2 linked regions of the Nothobranchius furzeri genome follow. The protein of the gene in region 1 purifies or fractionates together with the protein of each later gene. This does not show direct contact. Links are inferred from orthologs where the notes say so. Each region holds a gene or a part of one and is shown on either strand. Other genes may lie near its edges.

Evidence for each region. The genes of interacting proteins can lie anywhere in the genome.
Region 2: the proteins of stk11 (region 1) and cops4 purify together in Homo sapiens (affinity purification with mass spectrometry; 4 studies listed by BioGRID and IntAct, with this or other methods). This does not show direct contact. The link is inferred for Nothobranchius furzeri from reciprocal best matches to the Homo sapiens genes STK11 and COPS4.

The regions. Positions count from the first base shown.
Region 1 is NC_091751.1:56,737,815-56,742,031, forward strand, and holds the start of stk11 (serine/threonine-protein kinase STK11), read right to left. Parts: upstream 2,935-4,217; 5' UTR 2,177-2,934; intron 1,293-2,176; 5' UTR 604-1,292; coding exon 320-603; intron 1-319. Other genes in the region: sugp1 (SURP and G-patch domain-containing protein 1), read right to left, coding at 4,184-4,210. UniProt on the Homo sapiens protein: Tumor suppressor serine/threonine-protein kinase that controls the activity of AMP-activated protein kinase (AMPK) family members, thereby playing a role in various processes such as cell metabolism, cell polarity, apoptosis and DNA damage response.
Region 2 is NC_091746.1:62,988,499-62,992,730, forward strand, and holds the start of cops4 (COP9 signalosome complex subunit 4), read left to right. Parts: upstream 1-1,432; 5' UTR 1,433-1,491; coding exon 1,492-1,565; intron 1,566-3,766; exon of another isoform or gene 3,767-4,170; intron 4,171-4,232. UniProt on the Homo sapiens protein: Component of the COP9 signalosome complex (CSN), a complex involved in various cellular and developmental processes.

The DNA.
Region 1 (4,217 bases):
ATAAATGTTTTTGCGCTGTGGGATTAAAACAACAATTCTAGCAAGCAGGAAAACAGTGATAAAGCTAGTTGTCTGCCAGGCAGCTATTAATAAATTATCATGTTTTCAAGTGATGATTTGAGCATGAAGTGTTGTTTGTATTGTTGTGCTGTTTTAAAAACCAATATGAAGAGAAGTTAGCCTAATTTTTTAACTGTGTTAACTCAAAATAATTAATAACCCAGCTTTGTAGTAGGTCTGATGCTACGGCGCTGCAAGTTTTTTTTTTTCCAAGAATGACAATCTATAACAGGCTTACAAAAAAATAAAAACAACTTACTTTTTCACATTGGCTTCTCCGTTGGGAATCCTCCTAAGCTTTTTCTTCTTCAGTATCTTCACAGCCCTGCGACAAAGTGTTTCCGAGTCCAGCATTTCTTTCACTTTGCCATAAGATCCTTCCCCTAGCAGATCTCCCATCAGATACTTTCCAATCAGCTTTGCCCTCTTCCTCCGTGGCTGATAGATCACCTCTGTAGAGTCAATGCGGTGAATGAAAGTGTCCATCTCCATAAGTTCGTTTTCATTTAGATAATCAAGATGCTGCAGCTCCCTGGCACTCATGACTGGTGGTTCTACAACCACAGCCTAAGCCTTACGTGCAAAAAATAAACGTTTGAAAACTGGCTATGATTGCTGCTGGGGTGTAATCTGCTGTTAGCCTTTCAGCACTGAACCGAGGGTTTCCATTAGAGAAGTTTTAAAATGCGGAAAATGCGAAGGAGAGAAATAAAGCCTGAGAACTGACGAAAGGTAAGAGAGAAATCTAAAACCTGTAAAAATTAGGGCTCATTTTAGACAGAAACTAAAAGAGGTGCAGAACCTATTGGCTCAAGTGCTAATTTAGTGCTTTAGACTGTGCATTATGAGCTACGTCTTTGATGAGTGCAGCTAAACAGAACTTCAAATGGGAAAAAAAAGGATTCTACACTATTATTTTCTTTTCCGACGGTCTAGGCTATCGTTTTATAGTTTAATACCATACAACTTTAGGTAAAGGAAACCAGTCTTGTTTCAAGGCCTTGCAGCACAGCATTTCTGTCAAAGGTCCTTGCTGGATGTCATAGTTTCCACCCGACACATAAGTGTTTATAGTTGGATTGGATCCAGGCATAAATTGACAACCAAAGCATGCAGCAGTATCAATCCAATCCCTGGTGTCAGTCAGGCTCCAGGGGATCGACTGAACTGTCCACCACGCTGAACTGCCCTCAGGTGTCCTCCATGTCACTACAGTTTCTACAGCCTGATGTCTGAGGAAAAAGGGCAAAAAAAAATATTTAATTATCAGAACAATCACTGATTGTTTTGCAAAATTACATTTGAGTAAAAATCTATTTACACATATTTAAACACCTGGGTAAACATCTTGTGATCAGACACAGGAACATGATCCTTTTCATTAATACAAACAAAAAAAACAACTTTGTCAGAAAGTACTGTGACACAGTTTTGTTAAGTTTTCTACTTAATTGGCTGATCACAACATATTTGAGGGACTTGCTTAAGAGTTTGGGCTTAAAATGCAAAAACTGAGCTTTCAAATAGGTGGTATTCACATCTTGAGAAAGGGTTGAGGAATTACAGCTAGAATCCTCTTGTATAAGGGCTCAAATGTGGACAAAAAACCTCGGGTATTTCTTAATAAGCCGTAGTTTAACAGTAACGTGGGGAAACAACTAAAAACAACAAAAATGTGTGAACACCTTAGAGCTAGCGGTTAGCAGAAAATTTGACTGAATGAATTAGCTTTCCAGTATTAACTTCAACTTATTCGGCGTGCCCCTTTAGAACAATCATGAAAAGTTTAAAACCAAAGTAACTTGTTTGGCCGGTGACCAACTGAGGGGGTGCGGGGAGACTAGCGAAACGTCGTCACACAACTGTAGCTAACGATGAATGATGTGCAGAAGCTTCATCAGACGTTACAATTAACCAACTTCACAAGAAGACGCGCGATATTATCCAACTATATCGCAGTGTGTTTGTCTGATAATAAAACCAAACTCAGTTCTAAAACGTAACGAGCTTTAAATTTCACCAGAAGGATCCAGCTAACACGGGCTAACGGAGACGCTCAGATTCCAATGCAATTTGCTAGCTAGCAAGCTAAGCAGCTACAGTAACCGGCTCTTACCTTAATCTTTATGAAGGTTATTTCTTTGTGAGGCTTAAATACTTTTAACGTGTTCGTCCTCGATTAATCAAACGTTCCGCTTCAGTATAACACAATATCAGTAAAAATTTCCTCACTATTCGTGCTACTCTTGCCTCTCAGGTTGTCGCCATCTTGTTTACCTCCCCCCCTAGCAGCCCCAACACGTTACTGCGTCAAATCAAAGTCCTCCTCCCCACCCCTCCCCTTCTGGAGCAACAACAAAACTGACCTGTCTGCTTTATTTTTACGTCATTAATTCCCTAAAAACGCACAGTAAAGAATACATTATTTTTATTTAAAAAATGAGTGCAATGTAAGTTAGACGAAAATAAAAATAATCAAAAAGAAAATTACAGGAAAATAACATCTTTTGCATATTTTGTTGTTTCCGCAGATTTTTTTAAATTTACATTATTTTCGTATATTGTAAAAAATTACTAAATTATCTAACTTTCATTTTTGTTCCTTTGCAGTTTCAACTATGTGAATTTATGGTATTAATATAAAACGATCAGGGCTTTGTTTTGAAAAATTCATAACATTTTTTCAAATCTGTGACCTTCTTCATAACTCACTAAAGCATAAGTGAAAAATGATAGTTAAAAACTAATAGGACAGTCTTAGTATAATATGGCGCAGCTTTATATTTTATTTTTTATAAATTCTGCAAAACTCCCCCACAATTCGTTCATTTCACCTTTAAAATTAAAGCACCTTTTGTTAATCGTTGTTTTATTTGCAAAAGTAAATGTTATTGTGCTAAAACTAGAGTCAAATAGAAATGCACCGATTCGTGTTTCGAGGGCTGATGCTGATTTCTGCACAGGTCTGACCTGCTAATATCAATTTTGGCATAATCTGCATTATCTTAAAGAACTATAATTACCAGAATTTATTTTATTTCAAGACCAGAAGTAAAAAATTTGGCATGGAAAATCTGTTTGCACTTTATTGCTGTTTAAAAGGGGGGGATCTACTCTTTGGGACTCAAATCAGCTGAATGTTGGGCGATTGGCATCACCAGTCATTTATTGAGTGCACTCCTACTTGAAAGCACTTATTAAAAACTCAAGCACGTTCAAAACCTATAAAATGGTAAAATTAAAGTATTTTTAAAGATTTCAAACTCCCAAAAAATCTCATCGACAATTTTTAGGAACTATTTAGGCAAAATAAATGAAACAAAACGTATCTATTGAAACCTGCATTTTGTAACACTTTAAAACCCAGTGAGTTTGCGCCACCCCTACAACTGATGTTTTTAACTTTATCAACCTCAGATGTTCCTGGTGTGGCCAAAAGGTGTCTCTTGCTTAGCTGGGGTCTCCAGGGTTATATTTATCCCATGTAAACCTCTCTAAGGAATGGCAAACTGAAGGTCTGATTTCACTGGTCTGTTATCCTCCTCACAGGTCGCTCCAGTCCAATCGTCTCTGCTTTACGGCAATGAAGAAATGAAAAAATACCAACGAGAAAAAGACAAAAACAGATTTAGGTTAAATTTTTCTAAAGTCAGCATTTGTTAGGACTTGGGTAACAATTTCAGATTTCAGTAAGATATCTTTTTTATTGTCATCACTGCAGCATACAATGAGAGGAAGCAATAATTACAGCACAGTGAAAACATCACTAGATGCACAAATTACACAGAAGAGTGTGTTCTTATGCAAAACTGTTATATAGTCAGGAGGGCAAAGATTTCTGAGGATGCAAAATGATGAGAGTAAAATCATCACAGAAACTAAATACAAGTTTTTATAAACTGTAACACGTTACATTATAAAGCTGAAATGCAACAAAAGCGTGAGCTGTGTTATTTTTGTTTTGTGGTAAACATAAAATGTAGCTAATCTGTTGTTAATTTTTGGATTTCAATAACTTCTCTGACACGTAGGACTCAAACATCTCCACAGCTAAAACGTTCAATTAATGCGCGAGCAGACAAGAGGCAGATGCAGAAACGAGCTTTAGAAGTGGTCCTCTGTATCAGTAATACGGCCTCCGGGGATTGTTCTGCAGG
Region 2 (4,232 bases), on another chromosome or scaffold:
GTATTAACAGAGAGAACTCATCGTGAATAACGCGACTTCAACAGGAATGAGGAGGAGAATCGCGATGAACCGTGTGTCACGAACAAGTCCGAAACTCTAGCAGCGCACTGACAATGTAAACAATGTTAGCTTTCAATAATGCCTCCTCCTGTCACCTGAGATATTTAATCTGAACGTAACGTTGGGCCAACGATGCAGTTATTGCAACTGCCAACAGTTTGCTCTAACGGTCTCTACTCCTGCGGTGGGCTTGTTCTAAATCAGTATTAAATGGGACATTTATTAAATCATTCGTGACATTACTTTTTACTTTACGTCAGCGGTGTCCCCGAATAAACGAGAAAATGACACAAAAACACTAACTTACGCTTTACAGCTCCGTAAACTTGAAACAATTCACAGAAACTGGGTCTGATGACTCCAAATATAAAGAAAGAAAAATAAATTCGCGCAGAAGTCGGTTGAGATTCCGTCAAAACATGTCCCTGTTCAGCTAAAAGCGGTTACTTTCCATTTACGGTGCATTAAGTTAACCCAGAATCTGTGCACCAAATAACACTCAAAGTTATTTTAATTTTATACGTGTACAAACACAAAGAATATACAAATATATAATTTTAATTAATGAGAAATACTCGGCTACTTTCTGGCTACATAATCAGCTGCAGCCTCACCAACCCAACCCAGCGGGCAGGACAACTGTACCAGCAAAGTTAACGAGCCTGCTAACCCAAGCTAGCTAGCACAACATTATATCTCAACATGAAACACATTCTTAACCTTGCAGCTTCCTACGAGATAAAGTGTGGTGATAATTAGAATAAGCCAATACGCAATCGTTCTTACCCAAGATTTTAACGCTGGGCAGGGCTTCCAGATAAAACAAGAAAAGGAAAAAGCGATTGTTCAAAATACCGCGCCGAGCGCCATTCCTCCCTGACATTTCACAGGCCGGCCACGCCCTCCACGTAGAACGTCACTGTGACGCTACGCTTAAAGGTACAGCACTTTTAAGGCAAGCCGTTGTAACATATAGCCAAATCACTGTGTTCATGTGATCAATAGTCTGGTGTTAACTTATTGTTTAATGTGTATTTATTATCTTCATCTTTGTTTATTCTTTTGAGTTTTTTGTACATGTTTGCAATTTCGCAATTTCTTTATCCTATACCGTTACGCATGTATTTGACTGTTTCATTGGCATCTTTCAATTAAGTAAAAAATAAAATAATGAAAAAGAGAAGGGGTATTCACGCCCTCCAGTGGCAACAATTTAACTACTAGGAGGAGATGAGAAAGAGAAAAGGGAAATACGTTTATAAAGTTATTTAGTAGCAACCCGTCTTATAAATTATTTCAAAAGAAAACTACGAGATTTGGGGCGTTATTCCTGTGGTTATTCCATGACCATCCCATAGAACCATCCCAGATTCCAAGAAAATACCGGGAAGCAATTGCGCATGCGCGACTCACTTCAGGTGACGCACAATAATGGCGTCCGAGGTGAGACAGGAGCTTACTCAGCTGATGAATTCAAGTGGATCTCACAAAGACCTTGCTGCCAAGTATGTAGCGCTCAATCGAGAACCACTCATTCGTTTTTAATAAAAATGTTTTTTTTTTACGTTACCGCAACAGCGAGTCTCTGCGAGCTTACGTGTAGCTTATGTGTAGGCTAGGCTAAGCTACAGTTAGCTGCTTATTAGCTAGCTCTCCCTGTGAGCCTTAACGTTACAGTATTTCTAAAGACGAATGGTGAAATAATACTGGTTTATTTAGAATCTAGCTTCCTAGCTGTCCCTAGCGTATCCTTGATTTGGCTAAACAAATGCGTGTTTTTCCTTGTTTTCTATTGAAACTCCGTGCATCCTGTGTGTTTTCTGCAATTAACACCCATAATAAAATTTAAGAATCTAAACAGTTTAAGTCACTGTCAGATTAGTTTGGATATTATGTAAATAACTTCCATATGATACTAAAATTGTAAACAATGTCCTCCAATTTACTTATCCTGTGACCTTAAAAAAGAAAATTCGTCTCAAACATTTGATTTTAGATGTTGGAATGAAATTGTACACACGTATTTCATGAGTGATTTTCATGATCGGGTTAGGATACATAGTTGTTTAGTAGTTTTTGTTAATTATTGATAATTAGTAAAATAATATTGATCAAATGAGGAGATGTTGGGGTTTTCATACATCTGCAAAATTCCATAAATGCTCTTTAGATGTATAACAATGTAGAGCTGCAACATTTCTTCTAAGCTTCTTGCTAAATGTTTTAATTCAATTGCATCTTAATATCTCTGGAGTTAATACCAGAGGATGGGAAGTAACGGAAGTACTAATACTTAAGTAGTTTTTTTAGGTATCTGTACTTGAGTATTTTTTTTCTGACAACTTTTTACTCCCTACATTTGAGCCTAAATATCTGTACTTTCTACTCCTTACATTTTCAAAATGGTCTCGTTACTTCGACATTTCCCTCTCGTACTGCACGTATTACACGTATGTCGATGGCGTCATTACGTAACTGTCGGAACAAAACAGAGGGAAAAAAATCAATGGTGCGGCGAGGAGTCCGGTGGGAGCGCGGTTTGAGACCCAGAAGAACACTAACTAACAACATGGATGATGACAGTGGCCTGAGAAATGCTGCAGGTTTGGAGGAGCGATGCATTCATCATCCTTGGCCTTATTTAAAATAACTCTTTAACGTTGTTGGCTCCAAGAACGATTCGTGGCGGATGCGCTGTGTTTTGTGCCAGCCTAAAAACCTCGAGCTTCTGGCGTTTTAAGAATTCACCATCAAATCTGAAAAAACACGTACAGGTAAGCCTGATTTTATTTTTTCAGCTACTGCTGAGCTTTTAGGGCCACAATGGAAACAAGTGTTTTACAGTTTTCTGTGTTACCCTGTATATTTAATGTTTTTATGTCAAATTGTGTAATGGCACTTTCACGTTAGAGTCAGCTCGACCCCCACAGCCAGGTTGTTATCACACAGCCATCTCAGGGACACGGAAGTGAACAAGCACTTGGTCTCCACCATAAAAATGGCACGGAGAAATCTAAACACGAGCGCCAAACATTAGCAAACAAAAACAAAAAACAACTTGTGAGCTCGATCAGTTGAGACTAGTGGGATAAGACAGTTAAAACAATGGAGAACCTCGTAGTGATCAAACAACCGAGCCAATCCTAATGTGTAAGAGCCATTTTATTCTACAATTACATTATCTATGCAAGTAAAAAAAATCAATAAATCAATTGAGTTAATTTAGCATGATTTGTAAGTGAGTTTATAACTTTGGTAATGCAAGGAACTTCAGAGTGAGCAGATATCTGCAGGGGTTGGAGTAATTATCACAGAATATAAATGTTTTGGTCATAGCTGACCCCCCGCCCCACACTGAAAAACGTCTCGCTAGGCTTAGAGTTCTGAACACACGTTTGTCTGGTGTGTGTGTGTGTGTGTGTGTGTGTGTCATGCTCTAAATGTAACACATGTGAGCTGAGCTCTGCAATTGTAGTTATTTGTCAGTTACCCCTTTAGAAAACCAGTTGAAGCGCATTGGGATTTTTTCTTCTTCATCTTGTATTTTGTGGACCTAACTTTTTTGCTCTTCTCTTTGTGTAGAGGAAGCACGCAAATCACCTGGAAAGGTATAATGAGCTAACCTCGCCCAGTCTGAAGCGGAAATTGAACACCGACGACAGAGGCCCAAACAAACAACTAAAATTGTGGGAAACCAAGAGAGTTTCACAAAAAAGCATGGATGATGCCATCATTAACTTTGTTGTACAAGGTCTGCACCCGCTCAGTGTTGTCGAACAGGAGGGTTTCAAAACTTGTGCCTCACCTTACAACCAGATGTGACTGTAATGTCACGAGGCACCATAAAGAACAAAGTTGAGAAAGTAACACTGGAAATGAAGAAAAATCTAAAGGCTGCTTTGAATGTGGTTGAGCACATTGCTACCACCACAGACTGCTGGACTGCACACAGACGAAGTTTCATCGGTGTCACAGCACACTGGATAGAGCCTGAAACCATGGGAAGATGCTCTGCTGCACTAGCATGCAAACAGCTCAAAGGGCCGCACACATTTTCTGCACTCGCTGTTGCACTAAACGACATACATACAGTGCACTAAAAATTTCAATGTAAGTGCCATACCACTTCACTTTTCTAGCTTAGTGACTGTAGTATATGTAATAATAAAATA